2 linked regions of the Caenorhabditis elegans genome follow. The protein of the gene in region 2 purifies or fractionates together with the protein of the main gene of each other region. This does not show direct contact. Each region holds a gene or a part of one and is shown on either strand. Other genes may lie near its edges. The genes, in order: cbd-1 and perm-4.

Evidence for each region.
Region 1: the proteins of perm-4 (region 2) and cbd-1 purify together in Caenorhabditis elegans (affinity purification with mass spectrometry, with the first as the bait; one study listed by BioGRID). This does not show direct contact.

Annotation. Positions count from the first base shown.
Region 1 is NC_003282.8:11,369,242-11,379,977, reverse strand, and holds cbd-1 (Chitin-binding domain protein cbd-1), read right to left. Parts: upstream 6,988-10,736; 5' UTR 6,985-6,987; coding exon 6,939-6,984; intron 6,892-6,938; coding exon 6,797-6,891; intron 6,752-6,796; coding exon 6,196-6,751; intron 6,150-6,195; coding exon 5,541-6,149; intron 5,495-5,540; coding exon 4,574-5,494; intron 4,526-4,573; coding exon 4,247-4,525; intron 4,200-4,246; coding exon 3,864-4,199; intron 3,816-3,863; coding exon 3,388-3,815; intron 3,342-3,387; coding exon 3,009-3,341; intron 2,966-3,008; coding exon 2,609-2,965; 3' UTR 2,351-2,608; downstream 1-2,350. Other genes in the region: fbxb-76 (F-box domain-containing protein), read left to right, coding at 630-706, 1,351-1,804; sec-31 (WD_REPEATS_REGION domain-containing protein), read left to right, coding at 8,226-8,291, 8,339-8,478, 8,525-8,719, 8,768-8,984, 9,030-9,202, 9,308-9,695. UniProt on the Caenorhabditis elegans protein: In unfertilized oocytes, maintains egg-1 and egg-2 at the plasma membrane together with chitin synthase chs-1 and kinase mbk-2. Essential for the formation of a continuous and cohesive chitin layer following fertilization.
Region 2 is NC_003282.8:1,119,325-1,129,084, reverse strand, and holds perm-4 (PERMeable eggshell), read left to right. Parts: upstream 1-3,977; 5' UTR 3,978-3,999; coding exon 4,000-4,056; intron 4,057-4,113; coding exon 4,114-4,261; intron 4,262-5,421; coding exon 5,422-5,882; intron 5,883-7,173; coding exon 7,174-7,503; 3' UTR 7,504-7,591; downstream 7,592-9,760. Other genes in the region: perm-2 (uncharacterized protein), read right to left, coding at 333-380, 427-510, 921-1,156, 1,207-1,366, 2,201-2,284.

The sequences.
Region 1 (10,736 bases), about 10 Mb from region 2:
GTCCGTACGAAAACTTTGTGGCAAGGACAATTGAAGTTAATTTTAGTAAATGTGAGAATCAGAAATAGAAAACGATGAAACAAATAAACAAAGGAAAAGGGTGCATGATGTTCTACAACTTTCGAGGGAAAATTGAGGGAAATTACTATTTGTCAAAAGTGAAACCATATACGAGTTTCTAGATAATAATAGATATCTATAAGTCCTCTTTTTTTATAATTTCGTTTATCATTTCGAGAGCTAAATTAAACCATCTCGTTGCATGGTTTTTTATGCATTCGTTGTGATTTCGTTGTGAGTGATTGAAAGCTGCCTTCGTGATTTACAGGCGGTGTCGGCAAGCTATTAGGCTCTTGTGTGTTAATATTTTTAAGATATATAACATCATTTTGACTGAATAAAATATTCCCCTTCAATAAATATGAACGTAAAGGTGGCCTTTGACCCAGTTCTTCCTAATTTTATAGTGATTCAACGCGTTGTCTACTCGAGTGGGCATTACGAGAGAAGCAGAGGATAAGAGAAAAAGCAAGAAAGATCTGAAAATAGGATAATAATGGGGTTAGATCATAAGTCTCCCTCTTCCATTCAATATTGTAACACAGTCACTGTTCTCCTATTCTGACACAATGAGCATCTTTCCTCTGCTCAATCTACCTGAGAAATCTCTGAATTACGTTCTTCGAAGAATGCCTTTAACCGAATTGTAAGTTTCTGAAATTTTGTGTTTATCCGTTTTCCAAAACTTCTTAAACCCTCCACCGTTTTTTGTGTGACACTTTGACCTATAAAAATGGGGACACCAGTTTGTTATGACGTCACGCATCATTAGACGTTGCTCGACAAAATACGCCTGACGACACACTAATAACCAAATATTATTGTGTCGCAGAAACGCCGTTTGTAAAATAATTATAGCTGCCAATATTAAAGTGGAACTACCGTATTTCTTCTATTAGTATTGCAGTCTCTAATAGTCTTGCACCTTTTTTTTGACTATGAGGAAACTTCAACGAATTTGTAATTTTTGGATAAACTTCTCAAAAATTGTTCTAATAGAGGATAAAGTATTAGAAAATAATGTATTGGTTTAAACGGTTGTATTGGTTTAAAAGTTTTCCATAAAATTTGGTAACTGTTCCGAAGTTATGGGGCTTTTGAAAATTAGTCTTGCACCTGTGAGAGGTCAGTTCTATACTGCCTCTCCGTTTCTTTTTATCGAGTGCACTCGATCATGGCCATCGACAACTGGTGGGGTGAGAGAGCACGAGAGAATAGATACATTTTATTCTACATATGAGAATTAACATCATTTCTATCCGGAGGCAAAAAAAAAGTTTCTTGTTTCAGAATTGGATTCGCTCTCATTTCTCAAACGGCAAAAAATCATGTTGAGAATTTGAATATAAAAATGAGAGATGTTCTGGTGGGTTTAGAAGACAATATACGATTTTATATTCGGGCCGATAGGAATAACTTTGTTGCGTCCGCGTTCTTCTCATTTGATATAAACCAAGTCCTTGAACAACCTGGTAAACGTGAATTCATTCTGAAGACTAGTGAAGGACAAACTTGGACCAATCCAGGACTTGGAGTGAGACAATTTTTGGATCATGTTCTTGAAATAGGTCATCATCCAGAGCTTTCTATTTTCTTCAATAAGATTGATTGCGACGAAGATACAATTTGTGATATGTTTGATGTTTTGGCACTTGAAACATTCGCAATGTACATCGGAAACTTTGTTAATATTTTTTATCAAAAAATGTTGAAGTATTATTTGAAAAACAAAAAAGTACAATGAACGACACTCCATAGAGACATCCAAATGGAACGACAAAACCGGAAACAATTTTGAGAGAAAAAAGTTAGAAAAAGTCAAAAGATTGGTGTGAGTCAAAAGAATGTGCCCCCTTGGGTGCAAGTTGAATAAAGAAAGTGAAGAAGATGGATTGAATGATCACAAAATGGAAAGTTTACAAGGAAAATTTTTCAGGGGATTTCTGGAAAATAACTAAAATTGGAAATTGCATTTCAAATCACACAAGCTTTTCAGTTTTCAACTTCAAATTATTTTCTTGAAATTAATATACGTCTAAAACTCTCTGAAACAAATAGCAATTTTGTCAACTTCTATTTTCAGCAATTGTTTTCTTTTCAATGATACTACAAATTTCTGTAAAATTTATAAAATGTTTACTTTCATTTTTGTAGAACACTGTTCAGAAGAATATCAAACAATCATTGATTGATACGAGAGAATCATTCAGATGAATTGCGTCCCTTTCACATTTACAGCGGCATTTTTTACGGAAACATCTATTATAACTTTTGTGGGGTTCGAATCGGTACAGGATTGCATTTTATTTTGGAACAGTTGGGGCTCGCACGATTTATTTAACAAAATTTTAAACTTCAAGGTATCGTTGAGCATGCAAATAAATCAGATTATTATGACAACATGAAAACTTGGGTGTATGGGGTAGAGAAAAATGGGAAGGGAATGATGCTGAATAATAGCTGATTAGCTCAAGAGATCAAATGCAATAAAGTTAGTACATGTAAAGATTAGATTAGTTTGCGGAATGGGGGTGTTTAGAACAACTTATCAATATCCCGATTTATCATCATTGTACGTCGAACTGCCGTATGAAGAGTTGCTGTCAGACGCTTGGCCAGAACAAGATGGTACTGCGCTTGGCCAATCGCAAACGGACAACAATGGATTGAACACGGTTCCCGATGGGCACGTCATCACAACCTTTCGTCCCCACACGCATCGATAGAAAACTTCGCAGTTATTGGCATCAGCGATGAAAGATCCATGTTCGGAGCATTCTCCATTGGTTTGACCATGGTTCTCGCATCCACTGACTTTTTGTGGGTAGTCGCATTTGCCGGTCAATTGATTGAATGCAAGGCTGGATTGACATGATGGATGTTCGAACAGTTCTCCTCCGAAGCACTGAAAAATTTCGTTTAAGTTTGAAAACATTCGTTAAAAATACCTGAAGAATTGCCGAACAATCTCTTTCGTTTCTGTAAAGGCCATCTTCCTTTCCATCACAAAAAGCGGACTGATCATTACTGGTGTAGTACTTCTTGATGGACGGATTTTTCGGAACAGTACACGCGGATACAGATTCTCTAACGATACACTCCAACTTGTCATTTGAAAAAACACGATCTTCGGAACATTGTTGAAGTTTTGAAGCACCGTACGAGCATCTGAGATATTTGCTGCTGCAGACACCAATAGAAAAGACAGCTTCCCCGTCCACATGTGCACATCGTCCTTCAAACTGCTTTGGTTGAGCAGGAGCGGGCGTTGTTGCAATCATCTGAAATTCAGTAATTTGTGAGATACTAGCTTAATAATCAACTCACATCCTTGATAGCATCACGAATAGCCTCCTTTCCACAACCGATTCTAGGAACGCATCTGTTAGAGTGAGAATCGAAGAGTTTCCCAATCCTGCACAATTTCTCAACGTTTCCGGCGTCGGTACATTCCAGGTATGTGCGAACGCAGAATCCAACGGGGGTACGTGATCCAACGGTGCATTTTTGGTCGTGCTCCACGTCATCCTCTTCTTCGTCTTCGCTGTCATTATCGGCTCGGTCATAGGATCTAGTAGACGTGGTTTCATCTCCGTATGGAATAGTGTATTCACCGCTGTCTGTTGTAGAATATTTAGTGGAGCCAGTGATGTAGGTGTCCGTTGGCCCGTCATTTGCAACTGTAGTAGCAGCCTCAGTTGTCGTAAGAACCTCTTCTAATGTCTTGTACGGCATTAACTGAACAAGACCAGCATCTGAAATAATTAGAGGATTGAAGCTTAAGAAATATTGAAATTTGATACCTGTCGTAACTTCCTGCTCATCACAAGCTCGAGCTGGAATTTCACTGAAAGTCCGGCAACCTTGTACTGATGGATCGTAACCTTCACCCAGCTGGCAGTTACCCGAACTGATAAGGCGTCCATGTGAACAGACGAAGTAAAACGATGAGCATCCCGTTCCATGAGTTCCATCTGAGAGACTTGTGCAGGTATCAACTGGGTTGACAGTAACCGACGGAATGTACGGTGCCACGGAAGGTTCATACGTTGTTGGCTCATCCTCTGATGGCGATGCTGGAGTAGTTGTGAAGTCCAAATACGGAACAGTCGACGAAGAACTTACGTCTGCTGTTTGGCCTGAAATTGTAACTTTCATAATATTTTCAAACAAAGTTAAAACTCACATTTGAACACTTCGTCTCTGAAACGGCAACTTTGGCTTCGTTCATCGAAATACAGAGACCCTTCACATTCTCTCACAGATGCAGCACTATCCGAGCACTGGATGTACTTTTGCGAGCAACCTAGATCAAAAAGCCCAGAAGCAACATAAGCGCATCGATCTCCAACCGGCGTTTGTGTGGTGGATGGGACATCATCCGATGGGATTCCGTAGTAGTTCGATGACTGATCCTGGCCTGGTGTAGTGATAACAGGTGAACTTGTAGATCCTTGGGATCCGCCTGAAAATTATCAAGTTGATATAAACCTCAGCTTAGACTAAAGCTTACACTCTGGAACTTCATCTCTGTAAGTACACTCTTGTGTGGCCTCATTGAAATACAACGATTCTCCACAACGACGCACAATTGCTGCTCCATTAGAACATTGAATGTATTTTTGCGAGCATCCAAGTGAGAAAAGGCCTGATGCGTCCAATGAACAACGATCCCCAATGGGAGCAGCTGAAGTCGATGGCACGTCATTTGAAGAGTATTGGGTGGTGTAAGATTCGTATGAATTTGGAGCCTGAGTGGTTGATGGTTGATCATTCCATGTTGATTGAGTAGTGACGCCGTCATTCTCAATGTACTCAGAAGGTGCAGATAAATCGTCTGAAGTCTGTGTTCCGATTGTGACAGCGACTATTGTTGTTGAAACACCGCACGTTTCTGAGCAAGAACGAAGAGTTTTGTCGAATGTTTCTCCAATTGGACAAGCTGCCATACGATTGATTCCGTTTCCAGAGCAGAAAATGAACTGATCGAAACAGTCGCCGAATGTAAGGAAAGTGGGAGTAGTGTATTGTTGACAGTCCTTGTTTACTTGAGCTTGTCGAGCAGATATTTGTGCAGACTGCTGTCCATATACAGATTGTTCAGTTCCGTAGTAGGCTGAACGCTTCCTTCTCGTGGCTCCGAACAAATCTTTTGCGTCGAACGTTTTCTCGTCGTCATAGCCGTCTGGATCCTCATGTGGTCCCAACTGTTTTTTTGAATGACGATTCTTCGGGAATACTTGCTCAATGTTAGATTCAACAAACTTCGCGTTTGGCCCTTCGAACTCATCATCAATCAAGAAACGTTTGTTTCCATCAACCTTCCTGGCATCTCCTTGGATCTTTCCCATTCTTGCACGGCGGTAGTCTTTGAATTGATCGCTAAGTGCAGCACGACCACGGAAAGCGGTTGAGAATGGAGAATCAATGGCCGCTGAAGTATCAAAATTATCACAAAGAAAAGACTAATCCTAACTTACGTCCATAACCATAGCGGCGATGATCTCTGTGGCTGCCTCCACGGTGTCGAGGGATGAAGAATGGATTCTCAAGATACGAGTTTCCATTTACCGGTCCGTAACTCGGCTTCCCATGATGATACTTACGCCTTCTGTCGAATTTTGGTTTCAGACGAACGTTCTCATCAAATGGACTGACGATGGTATCCGATGGAGGCCCGTAAGAGTTGTACGCAGGAGCGGCGGGAACAGTGATTGGTTGACATTGTGGCAAATCGAACACGCACATAACGAGAGAGGACTCGAAGAGAGTGTTGACTGGACATTGCTTTGAACGCACCGAGTTGTTCTGACAACGATTGAATCGTGACGAACACATCCCGAAGGAGTTGACTTGTCCCTCCTGACAAACGAACGGAGTTTGCGTCGTTGTTGTCGTTGTCACGGCATCAAATCCAGTCGTAGTTGTCTCAATAGCATCAATTGAAGGTGTTGTTGTTGTTGAGATGACATCAGCGGAAGTTGTTGAGCTGTATTCACTGTCATCTTCTTGCGGTGTTGTGATTGTAGAAGTTGAGTACGATACAGTGGTCGTTGGATCATCGGTCGTGCATTGGAAATCGCAGGACTCTGAAAAACGAAGAAATTAACATAATACTCGATCACGTGCACTTACGTTGATTGATATTGAAAACTGTTCCCGGTGGACAGTATCTCTGGAACACCATGTTGTTGCTGCATGAGTAGAATACGTCATTGCAACCGTCGGCGTAGTTTCCGTCTTCCAGACCGTTGCAATCGAAGTCAATTGAATCCGGCTGCTCGTTCGACGGTTGACGTTCGTAATCTCCAGCAATCTCACCGGAAGCTTCTCCGTATCCTTCTTCACCATCTTCGTAGACTTGTGGTGCAGTAGTTGTGTCCTGTTTCACTTCGTCGCAAGATTCACGACAATCTTGGGTTCTTTCGTTAAAGACCAAGCTATCAGGACATTTCGCCATGTAGGCTCCGCCGGCGACGCAGCTGATAAACTGGTTAGAGCAGCCAATGGAGTAGATGCCATCCTGTTTCGATGTGCAGTCGAATTCCGCATATGGGGTGTCATCTTCTTCAGTGTTTTCATCTACTCGACATTCTGGAGATTCGTCGACTGGCACACATTCGTCTTCGTAGAAGACAGAATCATCGCTGCAGGTGGCTGCTTGCCTGACTCCGTTCACACATATCGAGTACTGAAAATAAAGAATTATATTTGAAACGGAGGGCTACTGGTTTACCTCCCGACTGCATGCATTTCCTGCTATGTTTCCGTTGAAGTATGCAGGGCATTCTGTGGCTGCTGGTGAGTGCGGGTATTGAATAGAATTCGAAACTGGAAAATAAAAATATTTGATTGAAAAGAAAGAGGCAGAAACTCACAAAATGTTAGTAGAAGCAGCGAGACGGTGGCTAGCTGTGGCCCCATCGCCTGAAATTGATAACAGTTAGAGGATGAATATTTTAACTTAAAAGTTTTACGAAATAAAAACAGAAAAGGTTCAAAATGGTCGCCATTTCAGGAGAAACTAATAAAAATTAGAGCTAATGAAGAAGGAATGAAATGGAACATTCGAGGTTGAAAACTCAATCCAAAAAATTTCCCGCTCGAGCCTAAAACTGGGGTCAAATAATTTTTGATCTACTGCACTTTTACATGTCTGAAATGGGTATTGGCATACATTTGCTCAATTTTATTCTTTAAAAATTAATTTTAGATCATAAAATTAATGAAAACAAACAAAATATTATGAGAAAATTCAAGATATTTTCAAAATTAAGAAAAACTAAAGAATTGTGCGGCCCAAAAATAACAGAGTACGGTATTAGTTAGCAATCGTGGCGAGACCCAACTAACAACATACATGATCCTTTAATACCAACCGTTTCCATTTTCCAAAATATGTTTTTTTGGTTGATTTAATTTTAATTGCATCCAATTTTTTGTTAATTTTCTGAAACAAAAAAATTAACTTCTAAAAATTCATAGTCGGTTTAAATAATTATAACTTTAAATAGAAAGTTTGGACATTAGCGGCTTACTTGACTACGGTATGCAAAAGTACGCAAAGACACTTCACGTCGTTTTGCAGATCCACGGAAAATCAATTTTTTTTTTGATTTTTAAAATCATCGTTTCGTTTTCCTTCGGGAATAGCGAAATTAAGGTTTTTAATGAACTTTTTTCCTCGCTTCTTTCAATAGCTATTAGTAGAATTTGTGTATTCTCTGTTTTCTCTGTCCGCGCGACATAACTTGAAAAAACATTGTCTGATTTCTTAAACATATAACAATTAGTGTTTTATTTTCTTTTTGATATTTTTCTTAAACATTTTTAAATAAGAAGCTTCTATTTTTTCGAAAATTGGTGCGATGAGTTCACTTTTTGATATTGAAATATTTTGAATTACTCCTCCCAAATTGGGAGTCCCAATTTTTATATGCGGAACATTCTAAGGAACATTCATTCTGCCATTTTTCTTTTCCGTTCGATATCGGTGTTTCTAGCTGTCTGAATTACATCAAGACTACTCTTTTAAAAACTTTCACTTCCTCCTATTTGTTCGAGTGCAAAGGAGCGCACTTACTCCCTGTTCAGCTGCTCTCATTCATCCACGTCAACGTTACAGCTAAAGTTACAACAATTGCTCATTAAACGGAACACGATCGATGAGCTCGAAGCTCTACTCACGTTCCGGCGTATTTGTCTGGAGTCCACGTGGAATTCAGAAAAAGGTAATTAATCAATCTTCGTCTATAATTGAAATAAATCAAATTTTCAGGGCTTAATTGTTGCTGATTTCGCTCAGTTTTTTGACCCGACTGCAACATCAATCGAACCAAAGATCGATTTTTTGCCAGCAAGTGAGATATATGAAAAATCGAATTTGGCCCCGAATGTGTCGCATGCCACTAATTATCGGTGAGAATTATAATGTGAAGCGGTATAGTGTATTTCATAATTTTAGATTCAATGAATTAGCCTGGACTTCTCTGTGTTCCGATGCACATCCGAACGGAATAATTGCTGGCGGTACAGAGGACGGAACTGTGGTATTTTTTGATGCTGATAAATTTATCAAGAATCAATCACTAGAAGTTCTTCTTTCTCGAAGAGATCATCATGGGCATGTTCTCACTATTGATGTTTCCAGGGACGGCAGGTATGAAATGAAAGTTTACAAGAACAATTCAAAAAAATAATTTTTAAGATGGATGGCTTCTGGTGGAGGCTCAGGACAAATTCTTCTCTGGGATTGCGCAAATCTGAAAACACCATTCTCTCCCGGTTCGCCAAATTTCCCAGATCAAGTGAAACTTCTTCGCTGGAACTTGAAGAACGAGTCTGTGTTTGCTTCCATATCGTCCAGAAGAGTCAGTTTTTGGGATTTGAGAAGAAATGGATCGCCGGTGTTAGAATTCGCAGAGGTTGGATTTTCAATTGCCTGGTGGCTATTAAAGTTCTATTTGCAGATTCCTGGCTGTGATTGGTCTTCGCTCTCTTGGAATCCTTCGGACGCCTCACAACTTATAGTTTCCAGCCAATCTCAACACGCCTCTGTTATTCAGAAATGGGATTCGAGATTCACTTCAACACCAGTTAAAGAATACAGACATCATAATATGGGAATTACGAGTGTTGACTGGTAAGTTTTTATTTAAAAGTTTGTTGATTATATAATAAAAATTGAGCTAGACAATTTATTTTTGTACAAAAAACTATATAAAAATTACGAAAAATATTAATACAGGAACAAAGCTGATGATCGTCTTGTAATTTCATCTGGCTGTGATGGACAAGTGGTTATATGGAATCACGAAACATCTGAGGTGCTTGGAGGTGTTGGAAGTCTTCAAGGAGACTGGATCCGAAATGTTAAATGGAATGAAGAGGAGCCATCACAATTTGCTATTCAATATTTCCAACATCCTGTTCAAATATCCTCATTGACTAGTCTTGGATCTCCGCAACCAGGAGCCGATGTACTTGCCGCTAGGATCTCCGATCAATTTGTTCCTGCATGGCACCGTGCTCCCTTAATTGGCTCATCAATAGCATTAGGTGGACGGTTGGCAACATTCTGGAAGTCCTACGATGCAATGACCCAACAATGGCACCATAATGTGGAAATTGAAACGGTATTGAAATTTTATAACAAATCTCGTTTTTGACTAGCGGGCCCTATGGGGCCCGCTAGTAGAGGTTGGGTTGGGGCGAGTCCGCTAGCTGGCGCGGGTTCTCGGCTTCGCCTCGAACGTGCGATTGGCAATGTTTTGGGTCTCGCACCGCAGGCCTACGGCCTGCGTGGCTTCCTGAACCAGTATAGCAGGCCTTCGGCCTGCTATAATAGAACAAAAATATGTAAGTAATCAAATATACTGTAGGGATAGTCAAAAAGGTTGCCACAGGCAAGAATTATTCAAAACAATTGCAATTGTATGTACATGTACACGTGGACAGCCAAAGACGACATGTTTGAGGGGTTTATGGTGGGGTGACGATGTGTCGAGTAGAAGAATATCTCCACTATATGACTGATAATTCAAATATGTTGATTTTTGGGAAGAGTTGGGTACCCAGGTGAGTTGAATAATACAACTACCACTGGCGGATGAGGGGAAGGAGGGGGCCGGGCAAAGACTTTTCAAACTTCGACGCGTCGTAACTTTGTTCATAGTAGGAATTGAAAAATTAAAAGTATATACTTGAACTCAGCGTTAAAAGGAGAATATGATAGCATTTGAAATTTTAGAAATTGGTGAAGAATGAACTTTTGAGCTTCCTAAGCATGGCCTGAAGCCTACAACTTCAGGAACGGGGCTCGAGGAACTCATGACCAAAAAATTTTAGTTTGTCTCGCTTCTCATAGCAAAAATAATAAGAATTAGGACATAAAATTCATTATCCAACAGAAAACTGGTCCAGGAAAAGAGGAAAATTGAAATTTCGAGGTCAAAAATTAAATAAACTAAATTCGTTGAAAATGATCGTAGAGGACTGTGCTTTCAGCTTGCATTCGGTATTTATGTACTAATTACGAATTTAACATAAAATCCCATTCGGTAGTGGAAAATTTTTTATTTTTCCAGCAAAAACGTCATTTTTTTGAGAAAATGCAGAAATTTGCGATTTCTGAAGTTATTTTTGACTTTTTTGTAAAAAAAATTATATTTTTGAAG
Region 2 (9,760 bases):
TGATCTCAGCTGTTTTCTGTATAAATTGAAAAAAAACCCTCGCCTAAAATTCTGAATTTTGCCAAAAACCGATATTTTTTGTGTCATTTTCATTAAATGTTCAATTTTTCCGTCTCATTTCATAATTTGCATTTCTCGATTTCCTATTTGTTTCACTTTTTGTCCTTTGACCCCATTTTTCCACACTAATCGGGTAGTTTTTTTGGTTCTTTATATGTCAAATGAATATTTTTTTTGGTTCAAAGTACGATATATATTTATTGATTGACTGAAGAAAACAATTTTTAAAGAAAAAAATCGATAAAATAGTTGGCCACGTGGAATTAGTTGAATTACACTCTTCTCGAGGTGCAGCACACGCATTGAAGAGCACGGTCTGGCTGAAAAAAAATAAATTTGGCAGGGTTTCAAAAGTTGTGAGCTCACCGAGTTTAAGTCGTCGTCCTTCTTGTGGTGCTTCTTGTCGGCGGACAGCTTCGGGTCGAAGATCATCAGAATTCCGACGACTTTCTGCAAAATTGGAGAGATTTTTGGGGGGAAAACGAGCTTCAGGCAACTAAAAACGAGCTTTTAAACTCGGAAAAATGTTCTCAGATACACTAAAAATTGCTTTGCAACCTCAAATATGTTTCGTAGAGGCAAAAGAGCTTAGGCCTCAAAATTTGCTTAAAAACTGCGTTAAAATTACAAAAAATGATTTTCAGACGCTAAAAACAGTTTCTAGACCTTAAAACAGGTGGAACTAAGTTTAAGCCTAATCCTAAGCCTAAGCCTATGCCTAACTTTAAGCCTAAGCTTGTGCCTAAGCCTAAGTCTCAGCTTAAGCCTAAGCCTTAGCCTAAGCCTAAGCCTAAACCTAAGCCTAAGCCTAAACCTAAGTCTAAAAATAAACCAAAGCTATAGCTCTGACCCGCACTAACCGATGAGCTTCCAGCGGCACGGGACGAGATGGAGCAGCAGTTCTGGCACGACTCCTGCGAGTAGATGGCGGTGTTTCTGCAAGCCTGACGCTCGAACGGGCGTGGTCTCTGGATGAAGGATGGTCCGTAGGCTGGAGCATCGTATTGCTGGTTGTTGTTGTAGTTGGAATCTTGAGCTGGGGTTCCGTAGGCTTGTCTCTTCACGCGGTCGCCTCTGTGGTGACCGCGATGGTGCTCTAGAAGTTTTAAGGTGAACGGGACCCGTAGGAAAGTTGTTAAAACTAACTTCTAAGACCGACAAGTGGGAAGGAAGCGTGGACAGAGCAATAGTTGACGTCAAAGTTTGGGAACTGGTAGACTGGGTATTGGGGTTGGTTGTAGGATGGTCCGTTGTCGTAGCCACCGCCATAGTGAGCTCCAGCTGGGGCGTCCTTGACGTCGGATTGCTGGAAAATTGGACATAAAATTTTATTCGCTCATACTTACTGATAATTTTTTTCTAGTACTAAATTCTAAACTAGTCTAGATTCAAAGGTAGGTATTGATTACGTTCCTATACTAATAGTAAGCTACCTAGAACAAGTACTTCAAATGAATGATGGTAAATATTAAAAGCTAAACAATTATTACACTTTCAGTATTTAACAGTTACTACTTAATCTCAAAAGTATTTAATTAGTCCTAATATACCTCCCTGAATACTATTCAATATACATGCCTACTTATAGTATTACCTTTGTATCGGATTAAATAATGTGCCATATTCGTAACGTGTTTAATTTGAATTAGACCTACATCCTATTTAAGGTACATATATTTAAGGTCTAGCTACATCTAGCCACAGTAACTCCAGGAGCAGAACCTAGGTAAAAGAAACTAGTTAAATGTATACTAACCTTCCTAATAAGTTGAATTCTATTAAATATATCTACGCTTAATCAACATAGCATTTCATCAAGAAATCTTATTACCTCTAAATTTTCTGTCCGATTCAAGTTACACCTTAGCAAGTAATCTTATTTAGACTTACTATTTAGGATATCACAATATAGTATAGGTAACCCTTACGTGATACATACTAATGCACACGTGATACGGAATAAACCTAATCTTAATAACTTGAATACAACTAATTATACCTACTGACAATACATCAAGATTTAGTCAAATATCTATAACAGCTTTACTTTTTAACGTGTCTAAATCAAGTTATCTATCAAGCTACAGTAACCTTACAGTCCGTTTTTCCTAGTTCCAACAGAACCAACAGTAACGCTTACCTTCTCAGGAGCCTCGGTGCTCACAGCGCAGGTGACAGCGGCGCAAAGTGCCAGAGACGCGACGATCCAAGTGGTGGAAAACATGATGATGATCGGAGCCAAGATGCTTCGCCGCTTTTATACTTGAGATCCGCCAGAGATATGGAGGCGGGAACTCGGCATTGTAGTTTGAGGGGAAAACGTTAGGCGTTGGATAAAAAACAAAAAGGTTTGGAGCGCAAAAATGTTTGCTACGGAACCTGGAATTAAATCTCACAGCTGTGGTAACTGAGCCAACAAGTCAAAAGGCTCCAATACATGGTGAATCACTCGGACTTGATCAACTGGAAAAATGTTCCTTAACAGTTTTTCTACAGTGTTCTAGTTCAAAATGTGTTGATTTTCTCAAAATACACTTTGCTAAAAGATACACAAATTAGTTCTTTGAACCCCGCTGGATCTCAGACACATGTTGCAACACATCCTTAGGTCACTTTTTTTTCGACCGACTATTTTTTTCAGCTTTTCCATTTTCTTTTTTCTTCGCTGCTCAATCCATCACACATTCCGCTGGGCTCTTTTTCCTGCCGGCCGCAGCCGCCGCCCACCTGATTGCAACATGTTATATGAGAAATGGGATGATTGAGTGGGCTTGGAATTTCAGACATTTCAGATGATTTCATATGGAGCAACTCGTGATGGGTGAAAGTGCAATTGAATGAGAATGGAGAAATGTGCAAATACCTGGAATTTGGGCATGAAATAGATAATTAACGTATTATGTGAAAAATTTGTCTGACAAGGAAAGTAAGTTAATCTAGTCCCGGACTTCGAATCGAGACGTATGTCATTTGAAAGCTTATGGTTAGCCTAGATCACCGCAAAAATTTCAGATTTTTGGAAAAAAATAAAAATTTCCAAAAAGCTTCCACACTGTTTGTTTGACCCTAAAGACCCCCAAAAACAATTTTTAACCGCTCTAGCCACTTTTAAGGCCATTTACTTGACCTAGAATTCAGCAAAAAAATGCACTGGAGCACTTTCAGATGGCGCTTTCAGGGGTTCAGAGTTGAGTTCCGCCGCTGAAATTTTTTTGGTGATCTAGTCTAAACATAAGCTTTCAAAGGCATATGTCCTGATTCAAAGTCCGGGACTAGATTGACTTCCTTTCCTTGTGAATTGAAAGCTTTGGAGTGATTTATAGTGTTCCTAATGGATTTCTCTATGGATTTGCCAATAAAATTTCAACAATTTACATATCAATGAGCAAATTGCAAACACGTAAAATATGCATTACATAGTTTTACAAAGTTTTGTAATAAATTGATATTTATAAAAATACATAAGAGGGATACGAGCTGCTGAACAAAAATGCTGATTATGGTGCATTGAGAGTAGTTTTATTGTAAAATTTTGGCAGTAGGTTTTACATGCATTATTTATGCTTCAGATTCCCTTCTTTTTGGTGCATCGATGAAAAATTTACTGATCAACTTTAACAGTTCATATCTTCGTAGCCTTTGGTTTTATCAAAAAATTATCAACTGGCAAGTTATTTATTATTACTTTTTCTATAACTGTCTAGTTACAATTTTTTTGATATCTTGAAAATTAGCCGAGATATGGTGCAAATCTATCGATCATCTTTTCAATGTTTCCTCTTTTTTCCCCGTTCCATCAACTCAGACATTTCTACTTTCATCTTCCTCAAGCTTTTCCTCTTGATTTTTTTTTCTGTAGGCGGAGCCCATCCCATGTTCCCCCCGAACTATAAAAGCATGGCTCCGCCGACAAATCCATCATTCGATCGCTTTTCAGAAATGAAAACCGTTCTTCTTCTCACAGTCGCCTCGCTGGCCGCCGTCCTCGGTGCAAAGGTATATGGTTTTTTTGGATTTCCGCAATTTTAGGATAATCTGAAACATTTTCTGCAGCCAACACCCACCGAAGAGGTCAAGTCAGAGGCCGCTGCTGGTCGCTACGGCGGTCGTCCATCGTATGGAGGAGGAGGTTATGGAAATGGAGGAGGATATGGATACCCAGCATTCGGACCAGGATACTGGCAGCCACTTATTCAAGATCGTGAGTTCGTGAAAATTCAAATTTTAAGAGCTATAGTAATTTGGCAATAGAGCGCATTTGCGTAGACCTAGTTATGATTATACTTGTTTGAACCGCAATAGCCAACTTATTTCAAAAATGTAACATTTTTTGGGAATCATCAAAAAATTGACTTATTCATAGGTAGTTTTGTCAATTTTCAAATTTTCGAAAAATTTTGAAAAATTCATAAATTTCTCAGTTTTCGAGATTTTTCAATAATTTTTAAATCAAAATTAAGCTAGTTCTTCAAATTTTGTTGCAAAAATACTGTTTTTTTTTTTCAAAAAATCTGTAGAACTTAGGCCAATTTATCAGAATTAGAATTTTTGAAAATGTTTGAAAACCTGTAACTTTTCCAGTTTTTGAGATAATTGTTTGATTTTTATGTCAAATTAAAGATTAATTTTTTTTAAATTTTTTGGCAAAATTAACTGCGTTACTGTAGTATTTATTTAGATTAAATTTAATCTAGTTGGTGCAGAATTTCAAAAAAGCTACAATTTTCAAAAAATTTCATTGAGTTTAATGCCAAATTGAAGCTTAAATTTTATATTTTGAAAGAAATTGAAATTCGGTAGAAAACACACTTTTCCTAGGTTACGATAGCTTCCATTATTTTTTATACAAAATTCAAAAATTTACCCTTAAAATGACACAAAAACCATCCCAAAATCTCAAAAATTGAGAAAGTTATAGATTTTCAAAAATTTTTGAAATTTTGGACTTTTTTTTTTGGAAGAGTCAAATTTTATTGCTATTAAATTTTTTCGACAATTTTTATCGAAAACTAATTTTTCTTGAAAATTCAAAAATTTACCCTCAAAATACCACAAAAACCATCCCAATATCTCGAAAATTGAGAAAGTTATATAATAGATTTTTGAACATTTTCGAAAATTCATAACTTTTTTAGTTTTCGAGATTTTTTATTGAATTTATTGTAAAATTAGAGCCAATTTTTTAAAATTCTGTAGAACAAACTGATTTGAGTCAGGAATTTTTTTTGTCAAATTAACTAAAATGGTTTTTTTCTAAAATTTTCGAAAATCTACAACTTTTCCAGTTTTTGAGATATTTTATCAGTTTTTAAGTTAAATTGAAGCTGAAATTTTGAATTTTAAGATGAAAAATATTTACAGGCTTCGTATGCGACCTCGACGCCTCCGTGCTCCTCGTCGTCGACTCTGTCCGCCGCCATCATCGCCACCCACAGCCATACTACGGTGGAGCCCCATCCGTCCCAGCTAATCGTGCCGTTCGTGTAAAGTGCTCCGAAGTTGCTACCCATGATGAAGATTCCTGTAACTTCTGCTGCCAACAGACCGCCCGTCGTGACACTTCCCTTCCCAACGATCAACTCTTCGGATTCTTGGCTATTACCAAGGATGATGATGATGAGACATTCAAGAGATCCAAGAGAGGAGCTGATGATGATGATGATAATGATTCGGATTCTGATGAGAAGGACGGAAAACATGGACGTGGAAGATTCCATAAGGTTGACTCTACCTACTTGTCAGAGGCCAACTGGGAGCCAAAGAAATATCATAAGAATGTCAAGTGCGTGTGCTGTGCTCCAAGATCCTCTCCAGCTGCTCAGGTGGGGAATATTTTAAGGACTATTTTTTTTTGTTGGGAATTCAGTGATTTTGCTTTAATCTGGCTCAAAAATTACAAAAAAAATGTTGAAAAATGAGGAAGTTATAAATTTTCAAAAAACCGCGGAATTTCGATATTTGAAGATTTTGGCCTACGAGTCTAAAAGTCTAGTTTTGAAGACAGTAAATTTTTTGAAAATTTAAAATTAATCCTTTTTAAATAATTTCAAAATTTACTTTAAATTTGGCAAAAAAATCACTGAAAAATCTCATACACTGAAAAAGTTATAGATTTTCAAATTTCTGTCAGAATTAACAAAACTTTTAATTTTGGACCAATGACTTTCTTTTTGGTTTTTACCACAATTTAGTTTTTATATAACTAAAACAATTTCACTACAACATTTAACAATTCAGCTTTAATTTGGCCCAAAAATCTCTAGAAAATCTTGAAAACTAAGAAAGTTGAGAATGTTCAAAAAATCTCCGAATTTCGAAGTTTGAAGCCCTAAATTTAAGCCATATGACGAGTTCAAGCGTCTAGTTTTGAAGAAAATATGGTTTTTCAGCGTTCAGACTAGTTTTTTCCATAAAAATTGAAACTTCCGCTTTAATTTAACACTAAATTCACTAAAAAATCTCAAAAACTGAAAAAGTTTTGGATTTTTGAAAAATTTTAGAAAATTCCAAAGTTTGAGAATTTGGCATTAGGCCTACTTTTTTCAGCTATTTTACTGAATACATCACTCCAAACATGAATTTTTGTAAAATTTTAAAATTTATATTCAATTTGCCACAAAACTTATCCAAAAGTCTCAAAAACTAAGAATGCTATGGATTTTCGAAAAATCTCAAAATTTTGAAATTCGAAAAATAAGGAATTTGAGAGGAATTTTTCATGTTTTTGAACCTTTCTAAGACGATATTAAATTAAAAATTATTTTTTCCTAAAAAATATAAAAGTTTAGCTTCAATTTGACACAAAAATCACCAAAAACTCTCAAAAACTGAAAAAGCTACGAATTTTCCAAAAATTTTGAAATTCTCTCCAAAAATCTTCTCAAACTGAAAATTTCATCGGGATTTTATTGAATTTTGCAAAAAAAAAATCGATAATTTAGCCTATGTACCACTGAGTTTTAAAGAAAATTTCCTAAGAAATTTTTTTTTCAATTTCTGAAAACCCCTAACTTTGCCAGTTTTTGATATTTTTCAATGTTTTTTAGGTTATTTTGAAGCTCATATTTCAAAACTTTGAGGGAAAATTTATTATGCAATTCAATTTTCTTCCAGAACCCATCCTACAACAACAATGCTGCTCAATCCCCACCAACTGGCTACAACAACAACGCCAACGCCTTCGTCCAGCCACAACCAGTAGCTGCTCAGTCCCCACCAATGTCAGCCTCCCAGCCACTCGTTGACCTCTGGCAATCCGAGAATACTGCTCCATCAACATCATGGGGAGCTGCTCCAGCTGCTCCATCAACATCATGGGGAGCTGCTCCAGCTGCTCCACCAACCTGGGGAGGTGCTCCAACTGCTGCTCCAACTTGGGGAGCCGCCAATGATGCTCCACCAGCGGCCACGCCGGCTCCAGTTGCTGCTTCCAATGCTTATTAATTCGATTTTCTTACAAGTGACCTTTTTGTTTACATTTTTCAAATATAATTCGATTTTGCACAACCCAATAAATATCTTCTCCTGAAATTTTGTGCTACATAGCTATTTTGGAATAAACTACCAGTTTTTGAAGTTTCCGGCAACTTTGGAAGTTGCCAAATTTGTCATTCTTAAAATTTAGCTCTTCAAATTTAACTTTTGTAAAAGTTTTTGATAATTTTAGCAACTTAGACACTTGTTGAACTTTCAAATCATTCGCAGTCTCGCAACATACTATCAAATATTTTCCCACCTCTGGTCTAGATCATTTTGTTAAAACTCCTTTTTCTCAGAAAAAATTGACATTTTCCCACGTACTTTTCTACACTTTTTTGCTGTTTTCCAGACTTTAGAAAACCTCATGTATACATAGAAGCTTCACGAAAACCAGTGACCAGATTCCAAAAAGTTTTTGAGCCTGCTAGGGCTTCCCTGTAGGCGCCTGAACGCCTGCCGCGCCCGCCTTGCGGCGACCTCTGCCTGCCTTGCACCACGACCCGAATAGTGTCGGTCGCGGCCAAAGAACCACCTTTCGCACTTTGTGGAATAAACACCAAGCATTTAGTGCAGAAATTGAGCGAGGGGCAGGCGGAGATCAGGTAGCAGGCATTTTAACGCCTACATAAAAGCCCTATGGTCCTCGCACTTTCTAATGACAAAAAAATCTTTCACTCAAAAGTCCCGGCATATATGGTAGTCGGCGTTTTTGTATTTTTAGAGAAATCTAGAAATCAAAGAAAAACTTTTTTGGCTTAAAAATCTATGCAGAAATTAAAGCTACCTAATCATTAAATCTTGCAAACATTTTTTGAAATAACTTTGATTTTTCATTTTTTTTTTCAAAAAAGTTAAATTTCCAAATATTGATGCGTCACGTACACTAAAAAATCAAAAGATAATGCGCAACGTAGCAAAAAATGACTAGTAAAATTAATTTCCGCTCTGTTGGAAAGCTATGAGCTCACTCTGCAGCTCCCGAATAAATTGAAAAAACAAATATTTCAAAAATTTTGAGATTGTTTTTTGCAGCGGGTTTTTTCCGAAAAAAAGTGATTTCCGGGGGTTCTCAAATTAACTTTTTTTTCCTCCGAAAAATTACAATAACAAATTCAAATTTTTCATTTTCTAGCATTTTTTTAAGATTTTTTTTGGATTACTGTAGCTTCTACCGTACTCCCAGGAATTATTTTTTTATGACAAATAATTATAGCTTTTAGTTTTCGGAAGTACACTATATTATACGAGAACTCTGTAGTAGTGGAAAGTGCGGTAAAAATATATATTGTTTTCTCAATTTTCCAGAACTCAATCTGTTTTCATTCCTAGAAAACATTATCAACTCTATTTCCTCGTTTATTTTTGCATTCAACAACATAACTTCTCACGGTTTTAGCTTGATTTTCAAACCAGTTGGTTACTGTGGCTCCGGAAATACGCAAACACCGTCTACCGTACTCCAATGCACCGAATTTGACGGGACTTTAAGCTAGCGCTCTGGCATTTCTGGAATAAACTAATTGAGGGATGGAGAATTCGAAATGACTATTCAAAAATTTCTTTAAAAAATTTTAAGTCTAGAATATTTCGATGTTAGCAAATTTTCTGTGCTCGAACTCCATTTCTCAAAATTTTCAATAAAAAATTTGAATTCCCTGCTGTTTTTGTGTAACAGTCCTGTGTTACTATTGAAGAAAGTCGGCTCTCGGCGAGTGCACACCACATTTTTGGCAAAAATCCTAATTTTTCTCTCTTGCGCCGAGAGCCGAGAGCTACACAACACTGGTATAAAATATTTTTGAAAACCGGAAAATTTCAGATTTCACTATTTTTCAGTACTAAAAGCGAAATTCTACGATAAATTTGAACTTTTCAATAGAGTTCGTCAGAAAAAAAGCAAACTTTATTTTCACGCGTCATATACTATCTCTCTGTATTTTATATTTAAATTTCACCTGTTTTTATTTCAGTGATTTTCTGGAGCTTAACTCTCCCGAAAAAATGGGTTGGGGGCAGAGAGATCAGCTTCTGAATTGAGAAAATTAGATTTTTCCAAACATTTTTTTGGGTGGTTTCTGATTAGATTTATAATTCTTCAATATAGAACTCTGTCCTGTGTTCTGTGATTTTCAGAAAATAGAGTTTTGATTGATGAAATTAGTTATATTTCTTCAAATTTAATTTTCACAATTTATATTTTAAGTCGATTTTTTTAAAAGCA